Elephas maximus indicus: one gene and its partner. The main gene of each other region encodes a partner of the protein of the gene in region 2 in a complex. Links are inferred from orthologs where the notes say so. Each region holds a gene or a part of one and is shown on either strand. Other genes may lie near its edges.

Region 1 (10,952 bases), on a different chromosome or scaffold from region 2:
GTTTTTAAATGTACAAGTAATGTTACAGGTCATGGACTGACAAGCTATCTTTTTTTCTTATTATACTTATGTGCAAGCAAGATTAATAACTGTCACAAAACATTTTCTAAAAAGACCATTTATTTAATACCTTGTTTGTGTTAATGGGAAAATGGTATCATTAAGAAAAAATAAAGTTAGGATTTTCTTGGTCAAATAGGCTATATTATTCCTGGGTTCACTAACAACTCAGAACTGATTAAAAAATTTCCTAAAATTGTTTTTCTAGATTTTAAACAATTAAAATGTTAAAAATACACTCTTATTTCACCAATTTACCAACACTGAAAAACAGTTTCACTTTCTAGTTTCATTTTCTGTAAATGGATATAACACATACTCAGTGTTAGGCTATTTTTGTGGTAAACTCCCTGGCATAACTAAAATTAACTTTAACAGTAATGTAAAAAGTTCATTACTATGTATATACTAATCATGTTGGTAATCATGATGGCAATCATGATTATCAATAGTGTCCCTTTAGATTATTAGCTGATTTGTGATTATAAGGTTATTTTCTATTAGTGTCAATTAAAGTTGTACTAACATAAGGAACCAAATAAAGCCTCAAATATTTCTAAGAAAAAGAATAATAGAAAACTCCATAAACTGAGATCAATGTCTCTTTTCTAGAATCAAATTGATCAGATGGAATTTTCCTTGGCAATTTACTGAAACGAATGTGTCATATACATTTTAAATGACTCTAAACAAGTTACTCTTCAATTTTACCTTAAGAATACTGAAGTTCTTAGTTTATACAAAATTGACACGCTAGATTCAGTTGCTTTATAAAGCTAGCTACACATTGCCACTGAATATACTTGCACATAAAAATAAGCAAAAATGACTGGTAGATGAATAACATTTAATAAAAATGGGGAAAAGGAAGTAGTGATTTTCATAATTTGTAGTTACCTATTTATTTACTCATAAAAGGTCTATTTTAAAAGAAATACCCAAAGAGAACATGCCACAACTTACAACTTTTCCTTATAACTCATTTATCTAACTACAAAAATCATTTGCCTTCCAGTCGATTCCAACTCACGGAGACCCACGTGTGCCAGAGTAGAGCCATACTCCGTAAGGTTTTCAATGGCTAATTTTTTTGAAATACAGCACCAGGCCTTTCTTCTGAGCTGCCCGTGGGTAGACTCAAACCTCCAAACTTTCAGTTAGCAGCTGAATGTGTTAACCATTTGCTGCACCCAGGAACTCCATTTATAGAACTCTGTTGTTAGTTGCTGTTGGGTGGATTCCGACTCATAAAAAAAACTAAAGCTACCCTTAAATAGGTTCCTCCATTTCTAAGGCAATTACATGTAATATAATTTAAGAGGGGCCTTGGTGGCACAATGGTTTAGCGCTTGGCTGCTAACCGAGAAGTCAACAGTTTGAACCCAACAGCCGCTCTGCAGGAGAAAAGGTGTGGCAGTCAGCTTCTGTAAAGATTACAACTTTGGAAACCCTTTGGGGCAATTCTACTTGGTCATACAGGGTAGCTATGAGTCTGAAATCAGCTTGACAGCAATAGGTTGCTTTTTTTTTTTTTTTTTTAATGTAACAAACAAATTTTCTTTCTGCCTTATCAGGAGAAACAACCACGTTCTTGAAGATGAAGTTATCTTTCACTCCTTGCAAGGCAATTTTAGTTCCCTTATATATTTTTTCTATATAGGTCCAAAATTCTATTTTTTAATGTTGTTTATAGTTTTCTGAATCTCTCCTTGGAGTTGAAGCACATAAAAAATGACATTATGAGACTATATCTTTACTCCTTCTGATGCAGACCAGTGTCACTTTTCTACTTCACCTTTTAAGAGGTATTACTCTTGTTAATCAACTATGACTTACTTTTTAAAGTCTAGTACCACATGTATCATAAAGTTTGTTCTTCATTTCAGACTTATTTATTTTTGCATCTAGACAAGTAAGCAGTTTGCAGATAAAAATCTTTCATTGTTTACAAATAAACAGAAACTCTAGCATTCATCCAGAACCAAACACATCTTATTACCTGCCTAGGCGTTAGAATTACCAGACTACTATGAGACAGCCCTTATCTACAAAGCACTCACAGCCTAACTTGTGAAATACATTTTTAAAAATTCATTTGACTGTAACTTCAAACATTTGAATTAAGCTTTTGAGAATAAACTTCTGGTAAATCTACCATTTTTTTCTCAGTAGCCCAATCTTTCAAAGATGGTGATATTCATACACCAAGGCAATGTTCCATTTACAAATGGCCCATTTCAGCTACATAAAAACAGATAGGATTTACCCAATCACCCAGAAAAGACTAACACTAAGGTTAAAAAAAGCTTAAAAGGTTACAACTAAATTTGTAGGTATCTTTACCAGTGCTGAGCTCACAAATACACTGTCGGATTTTTACTCAAGCTATTCTCCTTCAAACTCTCAATCAGACTTTTACACTACACTATTTTGAAGCAAGACAGGTTTCATCGGCTAATTTGGAAAACAAACTGGCTCGCATATAAACGAAACAGATTTCTCCAACTCCTCAGCACCACCTTGCTCATACAAGTTCATTTTCCTCCCTTTAAATGAGAAGAAAAATTAATGCGAAGATAAAAGTTTGTACCTTCTGCTGTTCCCTAAAATATCTGGGCTTCGGTTTTCTTTAAAATGAAAACATTCAAATGACTCAAACTTATGGACCCCCTGTATTTTACTCTTTAAAATGATTTACAATAACTTTGTCAAAAAGCAAAAATTATTTATTTGAAAAATACCAGAATTAAAAATTTATTTGAAAAATACCATGATTTAAAAAGTTTAATGCCCACAGTATAGATACAGCTCCTATCATCCTATAGGGCCAACAATACCAATGATTACTCAGTATACCAAAAGTATAACAAGACTAAAGAGAAACAATAATCCAAAATTTAATTTACATATTTCTATTTTAAGGAAATACACATTTACGTTTTTACACAGGGTAATGGGCTAGATAAATTAAGAATTCTTAGAAGTTCTTTAACAAATAGAGCAAGGATTGATTTCATCTTTAAAAACCCACAGGCCAAAGTAAATACAGGTTATCCTAGGATATGTAGCCAAATTTCTCCAAAGAAATAAACATGTTAGGAATGCTCCAATGTGAATAATAACAATTATTTATTCAAAGGTCATATTTTGTGCTGTAATGCAACGAGTATATGTTGACACCCACAGGTATTTTTATCATATAAACACAGTACGCAGCCTACAAAGTAGGAAAAAAGTACCAGGACTTAGATCAAAGTATTTAAATTCAAGTCCCAACCCTAATATCACAGCATTTTGTTAGGAGTAAAAGGTGGAGATAAAAAGGCAACTAAAATTTAACACTTTTCTTAAGTATCAAATCTATTTTAAGTATTTAATTGAATCAGGATAAAACCCTTATAAAAAAACTATTGTCCATTTCATAGATGAAGATACTGAAATGCAATAATTTAAATTACCTTTCCCCAAAGTTATACTGCAAGTTAATTACTGCAACTGTGACATAACTCAGGTCTAAATTCTATGCTCTTTCCATTAAGCTATATTACAGTATCTGAAAAAACACTTTGTAAATTACATACCATAGTTACAGAGACAGTGGGAAGTGGAAATAATTTTTTCTTATAATAAAAAGCTACACTAACTACATTATATTCCTTAGCTGTTCCAGTAAAGTGATACAGGAATATTTTTAAATACTACACACGAATCATACAATAGGCCTACTTGATTTCACCTTCCCTCCTAATAAACTGAGTACTTTCTCTTCATGTCACATATTCACATATTTAATTCTGGAAATCAACTGATAAGGCCGACAAGTATCAAAATTAAAATCTCCACATACTTCATTCAGTATTTTAAGTGTATATCCTCTGGTATTTTATAAGTTTCCAAACTAGCAAGTTACTTAAGCGGCAAACAGACTTACCTACTTTTTGCAGGCCTATGTTTTATGTTATCCCTGAAACAGGAGAGAAGGGCTGTACTTCAAGAAAAACGGTGCCGGCTTTTATCAAGCCTCCACTAAAGCACAAGACCACGTGGTATCTCTCAAAAGCCTAAGGTTCCCTACTTCTCTCCCTCTTTTTGACAAGGAACTGCAAACTACGGTTTCTTTCTCTTAACTGGCGCCCTGACACATGCCACCTGTATAGTACGGACCGCAAACATCCTGCAGCCTGCCTCCCGGAAGAATGCGAGAATCAGAATAAGAGGCAACTTGGATGCCGACAATGCCCGGAAAGGAAATGACTGGAGAAGTAAAGCGGATGGGATCGTAACAAACCGCGGGACCCAGACCTGTCAAACATACTGAAGAACTCAAAACCAACAACTGTAACCTATGGTTCGGAAAGGCCTGAGGTGGGAGCGGCACTATGGGAGGAAGGAGGACGAAGAGAACTGCATGAGCCGCCGCTCTGATCCCCACAAATCTCTCAGCACGCCCCAACAGGCCACGAACCCTAACCCTCACCTCCAGTCCAACCTCTGCCCCCAAATTTCGGCAGCGGCCAAAATCCTGCTGCTCAGGGCGGCAGCCGCCGGACCTACCCGCACCTGTCACTAGCGAAAGACACCAGTCCGCAGTTCCCGCCCAGTTACCCACCATCCCCGGGAAACCGCGGGCACCTCAACCTCCTTCTCTCACCAAGTGTCCCCTTTCCGGAGCGAGGTTTTGAGTAGCGTCGCGATGTCAGACCGCTGGGTGTCCAAATCCGCCGCTCCACCTTCCGCCATCTTCTTCCACTAGCGGTAGCGGAGGCGGCGGCAGCGACGGCGGCGGCGGCACGCCCCAGAGCATTGTGGGAATGGCGTCCTGCGGCCCCTCCCAGCCGCCAGGTCGAAACCAAAAGGGCCGGGGGTGGGAGCGATGCACCCGGGACAAGAGGAAGTCCCCGGGGCGGACTGGTTGCGTGACCGTGGTCTGCTCCCCCCCATCGGCCCCCGCCTCTCCAGCATCTCGTGCCGGCCGCGGCCTCCTCCGGGCCGGACCCCGGTTTTCCTCGGTGGGGAGCCGGGCGCTCACTCTCTTGAGCGATGCCACGGCCCGGTCTGTGCTTGACTTCTGCCTTCCCCTCCCTCTTTCCCACAGACGCCTGAAAACCCTTATTTGCGCATTCGCTCACTGTTGAGGGTGGGGTGGGGACGAGGGGCGTGGGGACGGTTAAGATATGGCAGAAAATTTTAGCGAGTGTGTGACTCTTGTCTTTTCATTGCGAGTCGCGGTACCCAGGCTCGGTGAGTGTTGGCCCAAAGTACAATCCGAAACCGAACGCTTGGACGCAGTGCTCATCGTGGACTTCCTAGAGCCCTCTTACTGCTGGTGTAGGTGGGGACCTTTTATAGGCTCTTTGTGACGGCTCCCCGGGCACACCCAGACAGCTAAAGTGCAGTGAAAAGCGTGTCCCAGTTCCTCGGTGAACAGGGCGTAAAATATGTATTGAGTAATAAAATATGTATTGAGTAATAAAAAAAATACCAGGTACTAAAAGGAAGGAAAGTCCTTTCCCATTATCTTCCCATGGTACGTACACCTGAAATGTAACTGGATGGTAATTGCAGTTGAGTATTAGTTGAAGCTACAATTATGCTAAAAATGAGGAAATTGAGTCTCAAAAAATCAAGGGTCTTACCTAAGGTCACACAGCTAGTAAGTGGAGAGACAAGTTTATAACCTAGGGTCCAAAGCCCATGTGCTTTTAAATGTAGCATACTCACTACCTCTTGTAATTGAAAGCCTGAACTAAAATGGGAACGCCACAAGAGTTGGAACTGAGTCCATCTTTTTTACCTCTGTATGCCTAGTGGCTAGCACAGTGTTTCCTAACATATAAAAGCCATCTAAATATTTATTTAATTAATTAATTTTGTCAAAACTGCTTAAGTATTTCAAAGAGTAAAGGTTCCAGAGACTTGGTGTTAAGACAACGCAAAATGATGTGAAAAGTCTAAAAGATGGGAAAACATCCCTATGCTCTCTTGTTTTCCCATTTTTAATGCCTACTCTAACCACTATGTGGAAACCCTGGTAGCCATAGTGGTTAAGACCTAGGGCTGCTAACCAAAAGGTTGGCAGTTCCAAGGCACTCCTTGGAAACTCTACGGGACAGTTCTACTCTGTCCTGTAGGGTCACTATGAGTTGGAATCAACTCCATGGTAATGGGTTTGGTTTTGGTTTTAACCACTGTAAGGTCACTATGAGTAGGAATCCACTGGAGGGTAATGGCTTTGTTTTTGGTTTTCTAACTCATCTGGTGGTGGTGGTGGTGTCGTTAGGTGCCGTCGAGTCAGTTCCGACTCATCGCGACCCTGTGCACGACAGAATGAAACACTGCCTGGTCCTGCGCCATCCCCACAATCATTATGCTTGAGCCCATTGTTGGAGCCACTGTATCCATCCACCTTGTTGAGGGTCTTCCTCTTTTCCACTGACCCTGTACTTTGCCAAGCATGATGTCCTTCTCCAGAGACTGATCCCGCCTGACAACATGTCCAAAGTACGTAAGATGCAGTCTTGCCATCCTTGCTTCTAAGGAGCATTCTGGTTGTACTTCTTCTAAGACAGATTTGTTCGTTCTTTTGGCAGTCCATGGTATATTCAATACTCTTCACCAACACCACAATTCAAAACCATCAATTCTTCTTCTGTCTTCCTTATTCATTATCCAGCTTTCACATGTGTATGATGTGATTGAAAATACCGTGGCTTGGGTCAGGTGCACCTTAGTCTTCAGGGTGACATCTTTACTCTTCAATACTTTAAAGAGGTCCTTTGTAGCAGATTTACCCAATGCAATGCATCTTTTGATGTCTTGACTGCTGCTTCCATGGCTGTTGATTGTGGATCCAAGTAAAATGAAATCCTTGCAATTTCAATCTTTTCTCCGTTTATCATGATGTTGCTCATTGGTCCAGTTGTGAGGAGTTTTGTTTTCTTTATGTTGAGGTACAATTCATACTGAAGGCTGTGGTCTTTGATCTTCATTAGCAAGTACTTCAAGTCTTCTTCACTTTCAGCAAGCAAGGTTGTGTCATCTGCATAACGCAGGTTGTTAATGAGTCTTCCTCCAATCCTGATGCCCCGTTCTTCTTCATATAGTCCAGCTTCTAGGATTATTTGCTCAGCATACAGGTTGAATAGGTATGGTGAAAGAATACAACCCTGATGCACACCTTTCCTGATTTTAAACCAATCAGTATCCCCTTGTTCTGTCTGAACAACTACCTCTTGATCTATGTAAAGATTCCTCATGAGCACAATTAAGTGTTCTGGAATTCCCATTCTTCCCAATGTTATCCATAATTTGTTATGATCCACACAGTCGAATGCCTTTGCATAGTCAATAAAACACAGGTAAACATCCTTCTGGTATTCTCTGCTTTCAGCCAGGATCCATATGACATCAGCAATGATATCCCTGGTTCCACATTCTCTTCTGAAACCCACCTGAATTTCTGGCAGTTCCCTATCTATATACTGCTGCAGCTGTTTTTGAGTGATCTTCAGCAAAATTTTGCTTCCATATGTTATTAATGATATTGTTCTATAATTTCCACATTCAGTTGGATCACCTTTCTTGGGAATAGGCATAAATATAGATCTTTTCCAGTCAGTTGGCCAGGAAGCTCTCTTCCACATTTCTTGGCATGGATGAGTGAGTACCTCCAGTGCTGCATCTGTTTGTTGAAACATCTCAATTGATACTCCATCAATTCCTGGAGCCTTGTTTTTCACCAATGCCTTCAGAGCAGCTTGTACTTCTTCCTTCAGTACCATTGATTCCTGATCATATGCTACCTCTTGAAATGGTTGAACATTGACTAATTCTTTTTGGTATAATGACTCTGTGTCTTCCTTCCATCTTCTTTTGATGCTTCCTGGGTTGTTTAATATTTTCCCCATAGAATCCTTCACTATTGCAACTCAAGTCCTGCATTTTTTCTTCAGTTCTTTCAGCTTGAGAAACACCAAGCGTGTCCTTCCCTTTTGGTTTTCCATCTCCAGCTCTTTGCACATGTCATTATAATATTTTACTTTGTCTTCTCGAGCTGCCCTTTGATATCTTCTGTTCAGTTCTTTTACTTCATCAAGTCTTCCTTTTGCTTTAGCTGTTCGACATTTCAAAGCAAGTTTCAGAGTCTCCTCCGACATCCCTCTTGGTCTTTTCTTTCTTTCCTGTCTTTTCAATGACCTCTTGCTTTCTTCATGTATGATGTCATTCCACAACTCATCTGGTCTTCGGTCACCAGTGTTCAACGCGTCAAATCTATTCTTCAGATGGTCTCTAAATTCAGGTGGGATATACCCAAGGTCATACTTTGGCTCTCGTGGACTTGCTCCGATTTTCTTCAGTTTCAGCTTGAACTTGCATATGAGCAATTGATGGTCTGTTCCACAGTGGCCCCTTGCCTTGTTCTGACTGATGATATTGAGCTTTTCCATTGTCTCTTTCCACAGATGTAGTCAATTTGATTTCTGTATGCTCCATCTGGCGAGGTCCATGTGTATAGTCGCCACCCCCCCCCCCCCACGTGTCTGTCAGCTTGTCGTACTGTGGGGGCTTGTGTGTTGCTGTGATGCTGGAAACTATGCCACCGGTATTTGGATACCAGCAGGGTCACCCATGGAGGACAGGTTTCAGCTGAGCTTACAGACTAAGACAGACTAGGAAGGAGGACCTGGCAGTCTTTCTGAAAAGTATTAGCCAGTGAAAACTCATCTGGTTGGAATGCAGTAAAGATGGATGTTGCTATGCCAGCAACCAGTGCTGAACAATTCCAAGTGAAAGGAGTGTATACTGACATGGTTTGTTTATATCAGCATTGATTGCTTACTTTCTGTGTAATAATCCTGTTTCACAATTACATCATCCTTGATTTGAGAGTCTGATAACAGCTTCCCATCAATGCTATTTCGTATATTATTTGGCTTCTGACAGACTGAAAAAATAGAGTTTCTCTAACCATGGGTACCTTCAAAGGGCCACAATTTTCCCCTTTTCTACCCAACCTCTGAATGAGAACAAAGAATTTTTCAAGAGAAGCAACATGGTTTGGAAAGACTTCTTTGGAATCACAGGAATCTGAGTTCAAACCTCATTTCAGCCTCTGGCTGCAAAGCACTTAACTCTTAGTTGAATCATAGACTTTGGGATAATAATACCCATCTTGGAGTCCCTGGGTGGTGAAAATGGTTAATGCACTCCGCTACCAACTAAAAAGTTGGAGGTTCAAGTCGACCCAGAGGCAAAAAATCAACCATTAAAACCCTATAGAGTGCAGTTCTACTCTGATGCACATGGCGTCCCTATGGGTCACAACTGGATCAAAGACATTAGTTTGTTTTGGTTTGTTTATTGAGTGTCAAGCATCATCCTAAATACAAGTATTAATCCTCAGAGCAACTCTAAGGAGTATTATTATCTGCGTTGTATATATGAGGAATTAAAGCAAGTGGCAGAATGCAAATTTGAACCCAAGCAGTTGCACTCAAGAATCTAGAAAGATTGGGTAAGTTTGTATTTTTCTACTGATCTTTACTATCTCGTTTATAGCAGTCAACTTTTTAGTGACCCCAGTTTACTAATTTATAAAAATTCTACTTTGTTTATAGTTCTTCTACTCTCAAAGATAATTATGAAGAAAAATAAGATAATGTTTGTAAATACTAAATTAGTTAAGGTCCATATCTTTCTGAATAGCTAAGTAGACTGTTTATGAGAAAAGCTACTTTACCTTGATTCACATAGGCTACTACGTATAAACCAGGGTTACATCTGATTTTTTAGATTACATGTCTTTATTGATGCTTTCCTTAATTAACTTCATAAGAATGTCCGTCTTTCTTGGTGATTATATTGCCTTCTTAGACCCTTTGCACCTTCCTTGTCTGTTTAAAACTTAGTTGAAGGCTTTGAGGAAAAAAAAAAAAAAGGAGTACCTTAGAAATTAGACTTGATACGAATAAGGTGGACTTTACATAAAGGCAGAGTAGGTTTTAAAATCAGAGATTCTCTAGGGAAGATTCCTTACCTTCCCAAATAAGTCTCTGTTCACAGATACTTAAACAGACCATTTAAGAGAGGATCTTGTATTCAGTAATTGGAGATGGGATTTCAACGGTAAATAGTCCAGGAAAGAGTAAGGCTTTGACTTAGTTAACATAAATGGGAGCCCCTTTTTGGCCTGGGGTGGACCACAGAAAGAAGAAAAAATTCTGTGTTTTTAGGGCTGAATGGAAGAAAGCACCAAGGAAAATTCCAAGACAAACTTTGCCTACTTCATGATTTTGTATGGAGCTGGCTACAAGAGCCTAAAGAAAAATCTGCTTATAGTCTGAGTGGACTTAGCAAATCACATGCATATACAGAATCAACACATCCCCTGAAAAAACAACGATAGATGATGACCTGGCTGCCTTTATTACTCAACTCCTCCTACATTTGGGCTTCGGGAACCAATGTCCCACTTTTTCCTTCTTCCCTCATCCTTCCTCTACAATTATTTCCTCTGGTATCCTCCCCCCCGCCCCCCCCCCACCGCCCCACCGCCCCATTCTTATTCACCTCCCTAAACCCTTCATTCTTTACTTTTTTAAATTTTATAATTCCTTTTTCCCTTCACCAGCTGTCTGAACAGCTAAATGGCAGCGGAAAGGTCGGTGAGAAGTACAAACACTGAGACAGCATGTAGTAAAGTGCTTAACCTGTTAATGATATTTTGAAACGTGGGATATGAATAAAAACTTTAAGTGCCACAATGCAGTTAAAAAAAAAATACAGAGGCTCCTTATTTAGACAAATGTTGGGTTCTGATAAAGAGAGATAAAAAGTAGTGAAATGAATACAGTGCCCTTTACAAAGGGCTGGTACACTTGGATTCTGACTGG
Region 2 (10,950 bases):
AAAAAAAGGACCACTCCTCAATTCTGTGTTTAGAAAAGCAGATAGCTGACACGTTACCTTCAGTCAAAGGAAAGATCTCGCTCATCTTCTGGCGAGCCATTCTCACTTTGGTGAGCTCCCCTTCCAGTCGGAGCAGCCTGATCAGGTCCACGTGGCAGTTGTAGTCATAGACATTGATGGACAGCTAGAAGGAAAAAAAAAAAAAGAGTTGAAATTTAAATGCCATCATTAAAGTAAATTAGCCTCTGTCACCACTGGGTGACGATGCACGCACCTTTCACAAACAAAATAAACACAGTATCTGGGAGAGCCACTGAAACAGCAGCACAACAATTACCCTCAGCAAGAAGAAGACAAAACGATGATTTACAAAAAAACCAAAACTATTGTCGTTGACTCAATTCCAATTCATAGTGACCCTACAGAACAGAGCAGAACTGTTCCAAAGGGTTTCCAAGGAGTGGCTGGTGGATTCAAACTGCCAACCTTTTGGTTAGCAAACAGCCATGGCTCCTAACCACTGTACCACCAGGGCTCCAAAAGGATGATAAAAGCAGCTTTTTATAATAAGCATAAAAAAAAAAACCCCAGTGCCGTCGAGTCACAAGGCTCCCTCAAATCTGTTATGATTCCGATGATGGCACGCTTGGCTTCTCTCTAAAATAAAGAAGGCATTCTAATGAAACAAACAAAAAGTGTGTGACCTTTGCCAAATTATTAACTTTTCTAAGCCTCCATTTTCTCATCTACAAAATGGGAATATTACTAGTTCCCAGTGCATGAGTTTTCTGTGAGGATTAAAAAGGGTAATTTTGTAAGCTGCTTATTAGCACAATGCCGGGGGCATAGCAAGAACTCTCTCATTTTATTAAACAAACAAATGAGATGAAAACTACTGCAGAAACAAGAAAGGCACAAGGTTGGTATCTGTTGAAGCTGAGTGATAAGTCTACAAAAGCTTGTTTTTATGTTTCAAACTTTTCAAAATAAATATTATAATCAGTTAAAATAATTTTTTAAAAAGCTAACTGTACCAAGGATGAACCCTGAAAGCATCATGCTGAGTGAAATAAGTCAGTCACAAAAGGGCGCATACAGTTATGATGCCACTTATATGAAATATCAAGAATAACCAAGTGTCTAGAAACCAAAGTTTATCAGTAGCTACCAAGGGTGGGAGGAAGGAAGGCGGAAAAAGGGACGAAATGCTTAGGGAACACCGAGCTCTGTTAAGGGCGATGGTGTAACCTGGGGACACATTAAGGGCGATGGTTGAACAAAATAAGGAACATAACGGCACTGAACTGCACACGTGAAGACTGTTGCAAAGTCAAATGTTTTGTTACATGTATATTTATTTACTCCACACACAAAAAGCAATTACATACCTGAAACAGAAAACTAGCAGACTTCTTAAAGAACAGCTAAAAGAAATGATAAAATAAGAAACCGTCAAGCACTAGGAAAGGAGGAGGATCAATGGAAAGAGATGAAATATGAGTAAGCACAAAAGATGACCATAAGGAATAACTAAAGCAAAAATTATAAGATCATCTGATACGCAGACAATGATATTTAAAAATGGGGAAGGTAAAGGGATCCAAAGCCAAGTTGGGTTTCTGTACCTCACTCGAAGTGGTTGACGCCAGCAGATTGTGGTAAGTGAAATATATATACTGTAACACCCAAAAAACTATACAAAGTAAAAACTTCAGAGGTACTATAAATGAATCAAGATGGAAGCCTAAAAAATGTTGACATAATGCACAGGAAGGCAAGAAAAGAAAAAAAGAATGAGAAACAGGGGAAATAAATAGAAAACAAATAAAATGGTTTAAGGCCTGACATTTGGATATTACCTGAAATGTAGATGGTCTAAACACACTAATTAAAAGGCAGAGAACGGTAAAGTGGATAAAAAACATGACCCAACTACACGCTAATCAGAAGAAACTCACTTCGAATCCAACGATATAGGTAGGTTGAAAAAAAGCATAGAAAAAGATACACCAAGCAAATACTAATCCAAAAAAAGCAGAAACGGCTATATTAATATTACATAGAGTGGACTTCAGAGCAAAGAAAATTACTAGAGACAAAAAGAAACCTTACATAATAATAAAAGGATCAACTCACCAAAAAGACCCATCGATCCTAAACATGTATGCGCCAACCAAAAAAAAACCAATGGCGACCGTACACAACAGAGCCACAGAGCTTCAAAATACATGAAGCAAAAACCGACAGAGCTGAGAGGAGAAATAAACACACTCACAATCATATCTGAAGACTTCGACACCCTCCTCTCAGCAAGCGATTCCAGCACCAACTGCCACCGAGCTGACTGCAATCCATGGCAACCCCACGTGTGTCAGGGTAGAACTCTGCTCCACGGGATTTTCAATGACTGATTTTTTGGAAGTAGCTCGCCAGGGCTTTCCCCCAAGGCCCCTCTGGGTGGACTCCAACCTCCCACGTTTTAGTTAGCGGCCAAGCACATTGACTGTTTACACCACCCAGGGACTCCTGGCAACTGACACAACTACTATAAAGGAAACCATCGAGGACACAGGAGAGCTCAACAATATCATCGACCGACAGGACCTAACTGACACACACACAACACCTCAGCCAACGGTAGCACAACATACCTTCTCAAGTCTCCACGGAACATTTACCCTCTCTTGGGCCGAAACAGAAACCTCAACAAATCTAAAAAAACTGAAATCATACAGAGTATGCTTTCTGACCACAAGAGAATCAAACTAGGTATCAATTGCAAAGCCAACAGAAAAACCTCTAAACATTTGGAATTAAGAATACACTTCTAAACAATATGGATCAAACACGAAGTCTCAAAGAAATGTTTTTTAAAAAATATTTAGAACTGAATGGACATGAAAACAGAACACAGCAAGACAAGTGGGATGCAACTAAAGCAGCGCTGAGACGGAAATTTATAGACTTAAATGCTCATTCTAGGAAAGAGGGGAGGTCTCAATCAATAATCTAGGTTCCTGCATCGAGAAACTAGAAAAGAACAAAACAATCCTAAACAAGCAAAAAGAAGGAAATAAACACATGTGGATGTGTTCCGAGCTTCCAAAAATGGCAGGGCCAGGTTTCCACAGGCCTGTTGGAAAGTTACTTATCGTTACGCTCCATCATAAGGACAGTTACAGCAGGAACTACAGACTGCGGGGTTAGGAGGAGGTTAGGAAGGAGGTCTGGAAAAATTGGAAAAGTCAATTTCTAGACCTCAGGACAAAGAGGATAAGGCCAGAAGTCCTTCAGCTCACCATCGCTTGCCAGGTCCCATCCTATGTGGTCACCTTCTGAGCTCTATCCCACCCATCCTCGGTGACCCGAGGCAGGACAGGCAATTGTATAGTAGCCAGGAGACCTTCATGCCGACCTCCATCCTGTCGCCTCCTTCTCCTTAGTAAGTAAACTATGTACTTTCATTAAGGACTTCATCTCTCTGGTTCCAAGCCTCCTCTTCCTACTAAAACAGATGATTCTAGTTTCCCTACCTCATAAAACATTAAGGTCAAAGTGAGCTAATGGCTCATCAAAAGACCTAAGGCTAGAAATATGAAGAACTGATTTCCATACAGACAGGGACACAGTCAGTCTGGCAGGTATCACACCGTACTTGCTGAATGAATAAAAGACTGAATGAACTTCAGCATACTTACTTATAAAAGAAAAATGGTAACCACCTGTCTATCCCAACTGGTTCCTTCAAAAATCAGATTCTATGACAAATGCAACAAGTTATACCAACGCATGACGTTATCTCATAACTTAAAAACAGTGCCAGCAGGACATGCAACGTGGCATCTGGTCCACAGGCAACCTTTAAGAGTTCAAATCCCACTGTGAGTGACTCTAGGCAAATCATTTCATCTTTTGTTCTGAGCCTCTTTCCTTTCCTCATCTGTAAAATGAGAATGTGCTCAATCTCTTCAGTTTGCCCCTCCAACTCCACACCACCCTCCTCTCCCCTCCCTGCCCTGTGCCTTCCTGTGTGATCCACATCAACTGGGCTCTCTGGCCTTCAGTTGGGTTTGCTCAGTGGGAGACTAGCAGAGATCTGGAGGAAGTGAGGGAGATAAAAAGAGTTTTTCTTCTTCCACTTGCTTCCTTCCCCTACTGGGAAACCGCTGGCTGCACCCTTTGACCAAAGGTCTCAGCTCCTCTCAGATGCCAACCCCACACAACTATTCACACTACTTCAGGCCTAAAGGTGGACACCAAGTCCTGTTGTTACCAACTGTGGAATACTAAACCTTTGCTTCTTACTTGCCTTTACAAACACAGTAGTCCCTTTATGAACCTTTTCTTAAATTATCCTAATTTGAATGCACCATCTATTTCCTGCTGGGATCCTGGCTTATCCAAAAGATACCACCACCTACATCTCACAAGGTTGTTTTACACATTAGAGGTCATGTTCCTCGTGGGTGCTAGGCACAGGGCTAACATTACTGTTATGACCATTTTATGATGCAAGAACACTGCTCTTAATTTACAAATGAGAAAGCAAAGGATCAGAGAATTTAGGAAATTCGCCCAAGCACATACAGGTGTGGAACAGCTACAACGGGGGTTTGAGCCTCCAACTGAGTAGCCTCTATCTTTCCATTCCTATTTTCATCGTCGGATCAATATTTATTCGACTACAACATATTTCATCATCGTCGTCATTCCTACAGACAAATAGTGCTCTTACAATTAAAATTTACTTTACTGCTAGATGTAGTTTAACTGTGTGGTTAGTGGGAGTCCTGGAGTCGGTTCGAAGCTCAAAGCCTGACTCGCTACTTGCAGAACGTGTAATCTTGAGCCAGAGACTCCCCTCCACGAGCCTCAGTGTCCTCCCACGAAACGGGGACAACGCTACTGCCTTCACTGGTTCGCTGCGAGTATTCAATGGAATAATGCTTGCAAAGCGCTGGGCACGCAGCGAGCGCTCAAATAATGGAAATTGCAATGTTAAGTAACGGTTCTGCGGCCTTGGAGGCTTTACTGCCGCTGAGGATCAGGGCAGCATCTCTGCTCCAAGGGGCAGAGGAGCGGGCTAGGGCCTGGAGGCGGAGGGAGCCCGCTGCCCACCCCGGCGCCCACCTGCTCCTCCAGCCGCTCGATCTCCAGCTGGTTTTTCTCCTCCTCTTCGTCGTACTCCCACTCGTACTCCCCCGGGGAGCTCTCCGCTGAAGAAGCCATGGCGTACTCTTCATCTCCATCGCTCTCACTCACGCCTTCCTCCTGCGGATCCCACGCTGGCCCCACCGTCTTGTACGACGCAGCAGCCACAGCCCGCGATAACACCTTCCTCCTCGTCCTGGTTTCCTTAAGCTCATCCTCGTCTCCCTCGGCCTTGGGCCCAACTTTGGGCGCAGTCTTGGGCTCAGCCTCCGGCTCTGAAGCGGAGGATGCAGCTGCCGTCGCCATCTTGAGTCTCCAGTGACTTGGGTCCTTCGTTCCGCCGCCGAAGACTGGCTGAAGTACAAGCTGCCCGCGGCGCACGCCTGATCAAAACCCCGCCCTCTGGCCACCGAATGGGAAACTGCGAGCTTCGGATGATGGGAAAATCTCTAAATACACGCCATTCATATTAACTTTACATATTTGTAAAAGATCCTGTCAGAAAAACAATTCTTTAACATGGCATATATTCCGCCACAACTTCGGACAGAAGTTGGGTCTTTGGGCAGGAAGTGGAGGGCATAGAGGAAGTCATGAAATGAGCGTGATGACTGTAGTTAAGGTTTTGACGCCATTTTGAGAAGGTCAAAGGGACTCCTCGAATATATGCATTAATGCCTCTTGTGACCTGGCGCGTGGTTCAGTCACCTCAGCAACCGAGACACAAACGTAGTGAAAACTCCAAGTCCTTGGAGAAGGATCGATTGCGCTATTTATGAGAAAAATTCATTTCCCAAAGAGATTCCTCTCATTATGTAAGGACTGGTGCCTAATCCAAAACCAAGCCCTTTACCGAGTGGATTCTGACTCACAGCGACCCTAGAGGACAGAATAGAACTGCCCCATAAAGTTCCCGAAGAACACCTGGTGGATTCGAACTGCAGACCTTATGGTTAGCAGCCATAGATAGCACTTAGCCACTACACCACCAGGGTTTCCGGCTGGCACCTGATAGGACCGGTGCCTAGTAGGTGTTAAACGCACACATGAGTTTTCCGGTTTTATAAGATATTCTGCAAATCAATATGAATTATTTCCTAAGCATTTATTTAGAAACTCTTAACTGTCAAGTATTACCATATAAATTTTGATAGTTTACTGTTGTATAGAGAGAAATAGATAAAGAATATTTTTAAATAGGTATATACTTTTTTAATTCAGGGCATGGTGTTCATTTCCTCCTTAAACTCCCATTTTTGAGCTAGGAAACTATTGTTTCTTTATTGCCTTTCTCCCTCGTTAGTAAGCTTAGTTGGGACAGAAATTACATTTGTTTTGCTTTTCGTTGGCTCGCCAGAGACTAGTATAACGCCTTGACAAGTAGGAGGTGCTCAATACATATTTGCTGAATGGGCGAAACAATTTTATTTGAATTAATGCAAAAAAAAAAAAAAAAAAGAGACGCTTAGAGAGCTGATGTCATTCGTCTAGGGTGACAACCAAAAACCAAAAAAACCAGACCCAGTGCCGTCGAGTCGATTCTGACTCATAGGGACCCTATAAGACAGAGCAGAACCGAAGAGCGCCTGGTGGATTCGAACTGCCGGCCCTTTGATTAGCATCCGTAGCACTTAACCACTACGCCACCAGGGTTTCCAGGGTGACAACCAGGAAGGGGCAAAATCAGGACTCTAACCCAGGGTTGTTCGAATCCCAATTGTACCTAACTCTAAGCGACCTCAGACAAGTTATTAAACCGCTCGAACCTCAGCGTCCTTAGCTGCAAAAAAGGATGAGAGAGCGGACTGGGTGACCTTGTGTGCTGCATTAAGTCGGGTCCCTCACCCCAGCTTTAGGTCCTTTCCCATCCAGAACGCAGCACCTAGGACTCGCTTTCGTGGTACTTGGACCTTCCCGCTCCCAGCCCCGCCAGCCCCCGGAGAGGTGTGGTCAAGGTGGGGACAAAGCACGAACCGCACGGGGCCGAAGGGCGCAGGCGCGAAGGCGCGGTGACGTAAGAGGGGGCGCGCCCTAAGCGAAGCCCGTCGCTCGCTGCAGGGCGAGCCACGCCCCCGGCCTCGCTCTTGGCTGGCGCAGGCGCGACCCCGCAAGATGGCGGCGGCTGGAGCGGGTCGGCTGCGCCGGGCGGCGTCGGCCCTGCTGCTCCGGAGTCCTCGCCTGCCACCCCGGGAGCTGTCGGCCCCGGCCCGGCTTTATCACAAGAAGGTAGGGGCAAGCATAGGGTGCGCGGGGGACGAACGGGCGAGGATCGCCGAGGAGACGAAGGTGTCCGGAGGCGTGGGGGAGGATCGGGTTGGGGCCGGCGACCGGGGGACTGCGCGGCCTGGAGCTTCCTGCAGCCCGAGGTCCGGGGATCCCCCGGCCCTGGGTGGAGGGACTGTCTCCTCCCACACCTTTGCCTCAACTAACTTTCTCTCGTTTCGCAATGGAAATAAAAGTAATAGCCGCTGCTTGTCGAGTGGCGACTTCCAAAGGGCCTTACTGCTCGTTGCTATTTTGTGCGTCACAGCCCTTAAACTTCCCTAACAGGACTCTTCTGAGTTCTTGGACCTGTTATGACTTGTCAGCCTGACGCTAGGGCACGAGCTCCTCTTCAGCCAGGCCACTGCCCTGGCTAAGTGACCTTGGGCAAGTCACTGCCCCTCGCTGGACCTCATTCTTTTCATTTGTAAGTTGGGAATCTTAGCAGTCCCTTCCTACAAGAGAGAATGCGTGTAGAGTTCTCTGCATGGTACCTGGCACATAGGCCCAACACACGGAGACCATCGATGATGCTGCTGCTATTAGTATTTTAATAAAATGATCTCAAGCGCTATGGCGGACCTCACAGCGATGACCAAGATCTATCTGCTTGTGGAGCCCATAGCCTCGTAGTGGAGTCAGGCACATGACCAACAATCAGTCACAATGTCCTTGTCTTTGTTTTTTTCTGTTGGGGGGTGGTGTGCGTGCGTAGATTGCAGCCCTTGCCTTCTGGAAGCTTAACGTCCCCTAAAGATGAGACTCTTCTGCTCGGGAAACAACTAAAGATCGCTGGAAATCAACATGGGGCAGAAGTCCAGAGTGGATTTTATCTTGTGGGTCCTTGGGCTTAGAGTCAAAATCAGTGGTTGTATAGGCAAAGGGGAGGAGACTGGAAGATCAGGATAGTTACTGCTGTGCTAGCTGGGAAACAAGCCTCAAGATTACTAAAGCCTACTGTGTCGGACTGAATGGGTATTTATACTGTTCTGGCTTCACCACGTTTGTCAAGGGCTAGGGCACTCTCCTAGACCCAGGGAGAGGTTTTGTTGACAGCCCATGGTGACTGAACTTGGGCTAGCAGCCTTTCAGCCACTAGGGCGCGCTGCTGAACCAGTGTTATTTCAGGGCCATGAAATACAGTAATGAGACTTTATTTTTTAAAAAATCGTACATAGATGGCCACATTCCATAGCATTCTTCTTTCGACAAGAGTCATCTTGAACCTTCTGGGAATGCTTTCGTAATTATTTTAAGAATTTGTTTATAGTAACCTTTTTTTTTTTTAGATCATTATCTTTTGAAAATTGACTTTATTTGGAAATAATAGAAATGCTGTGTGAGCCCAAGTCTCGTGACTTGGTTTGTGACTAAAAACCTCCTGGGACTAAGACATAATTTAGCTGATTTTTCTCCAGGATCTCAAACAGTGTCTGAAGGTAGTTGGAGAGGAGATACAAAAAGGTTTTGGATAACAAATGGTTCTCACTGACACGAATGTAGGCCTTTCTCCCCAGGTGACTCTTGGTGTTTGCTGATTGCCTGCCAGCTTCCGGTTGCAGGCCCTATGCCAGGCTCAGAGAACATGGGCTGGTAAGATTCGGTCACTGACTTGGAGGAGCTGACAGTCAAGTTGAGGGGACCGGTACCAAAAAGAGAGTGGTCTTGATTTCTCTTACCCTTCTCATTTCAGGTTGTTGATCATTATGAAAATCCTAGAAATGTGGGGTCCCTCGACAAGACGTCTAAAAATGTCGGAACTGGACTGGTAGGGGCTCCAGCTTGTGGTGATGTAATGAAATTACAGGTAGGACGGGTTTTCTTCGTCTCTCACGGTGGTAGCAGTAACCCCTTTGAAGATAGCACCAAACCAAACCCAGTGCCGTCCAGTCGATTCCGACTCATGGCGACCCTACAGGACAGAGTAGAACCGCCCCATAGAGTTTCCGAGGAGCGCCTGGTGGATTCAAACTGCCGACCCTTTGGTTAGCAGCCATAGCACTTAACCACTACGCCCCCAGGGTTTCTGAAGGTAGCACAGGACCGGGCAATACTTCATTCTCTTATACATAAGGTGGCCATGAGTTTGACCCCACTGCACAGCAACTGACAACAACAGCAACTTTGCTTATATGGTGCTGCGGAGTTTACAAAGCATTTGCACGTACAGCGTTTTGTGTGGTCGCCATCTTTATTCCTATGAGGCGGGATGAGTCCATGTTAAATAATTAGTAGAAAAAAAAATTTTTTTTTCTACTAATTATTAAAAAAAAAAAATTATTAGCAGGGACTAAATCCTAGTTCTCCTGCTGTTACACTCTGCCCAGCCTTTCTGAAATAGTGATCTCACAGCTCTGCTCCCTGTATCAGCTCGAATTTCATCTTCTGCTAAGTAAAAAGTGTTGTAAATTTTACTGATCGAAGGAAAACCACAACTGTTTAGCTAGCAAACTTCAGTAAGACAAGAAACACAATAAATCAAATCTCTCCCCAAACTGGAGGCAAAATGAAGGTAGTGGCTGGCGCACTGGGTAAACTATAGCCTTATCCACAATGTTCTTCATCATGGGGTGTGGGCAGCCTCCCAGAGGTTTCCATGCTTATCTTGGGAAACAGAAACAAGGCAGGAAGGACCCACTAAATGCAGTTTGTGCCAAAGGAAAAAGCATTAACCAGAGAGCTCTATTGCATGCCCTCCTGCGTTTAAGGAGGCAGATTGGCCCTGACGCCATAAACAGACTTCCTCAAATAGAACTGCATAGCCAAAAAGCAGACTACCTGTACCATACCATAGCATACCCATTGGCGTCAAGTCAATTCCAACTCATAGCCACCCTATAGGACAGAGTAGAACTGCCCCGTAGAGTTTCTAAGGAGCAGCTGGTGGATTTGAACTGCTGTGACCTTTTGGTTAGCAGCCGAGCTCTTAAGCAGTGTGCCACCAGAGCTTTTAAAAAAAAGAAAAAAAGCAGCCTAGGATTGGGGGAAAAAAAAAGGGCGGGAGGCATGTATTTTTCAGCAGATCTTTACCAGCTAGACCTGTAGAGCTGTGGTATAATTTTCTACATTTAACTTCTCATCACTGAGCTCTTTGAAATAAAGCAAGCTCAGCAATTAAATGCCAAAAATTAAAGTGTAGAAAGCAAGACCAAAGCTCTTGCGGAGAGCCCCGGTAAGCCCCATGTGAGTCCCAGCTTCGTAGGTTTGGAAGGACAGCACCGGGATTCGCTGCCTAGCTCTTGTCTCTCTTGTAGATCCAAGTGGATGAAAAGGGGAAGATTGTGGACGCCAGGTTTAAAACATTTGGCTGTGGTTCTGCGATCGCCTCCAGCTCATTAGCCACTGAGTGGGTGAAAGGGAAAACGGTAAGGTCGCTCGCAGGTTTCGCAGAATTAACTCACAGTCTCCAGACACTTGGCTGTCATCGAAGGGTCAAGTGAAACAAAAAATTCTAATTTTTTTTTTTTTTCTTAGTTTCTTCTACCCAGAATTTGGTTAAATTCACCACCGTATTGAGTTTATGGATCGTTTTGTTAA

Evidence for each region.
Region 1: the proteins of SART3 (region 2) and USP15 are in contact, whole or in part, in a crystal structure (PDB 5JJW), measured with the Homo sapiens proteins. The link is inferred for Elephas maximus indicus from reciprocal best matches to the Homo sapiens genes SART3 and USP15. Residues at the interface, in NP_055521.1 of Homo sapiens: Ser438, Ser439, Lys440, Glu443, Gln490, Arg493, Glu494, Trp496, Asp497, Met500, Thr501, Ala505, Trp511, Tyr514, Arg533, Cys537; in NP_001239007.1 of Homo sapiens: Ser23, Leu24, Asp48, Trp50, Gly121, Met122, Phe123, Val124, Lys125, His126, Lys128.

What each region holds. Positions count from the first base shown.
Region 1 is NC_064822.1:122,510,554-122,521,505, reverse strand, and holds the start of USP15 (ubiquitin carboxyl-terminal hydrolase 15), read right to left. Parts: upstream 4,858-10,952; 5' UTR 4,801-4,857; coding exon 4,712-4,800; intron 1-4,711. UniProt on the Homo sapiens protein: Hydrolase that removes conjugated ubiquitin from target proteins and regulates various pathways such as the TGF-beta receptor signaling, NF-kappa-B and RNF41/NRDP1-PRKN pathways.
Region 2 is NC_064840.1:19,107,449-19,118,398, forward strand, and holds the start of SART3 (squamous cell carcinoma antigen recognized by T-cells 3), read right to left. Parts: upstream 5,469-10,950; 5' UTR 5,458-5,468; coding exon 5,131-5,457; intron 185-5,130; coding exon 58-184; intron 1-57. Other genes in the region: iron-sulfur cluster assembly enzyme ISCU, read left to right, coding at 7,264-7,377, 9,107-9,220, 10,668-10,778. UniProt on the Homo sapiens protein: U6 snRNP-binding protein that functions as a recycling factor of the splicing machinery. Promotes the initial reassembly of U4 and U6 snRNPs following their ejection from the spliceosome during its maturation.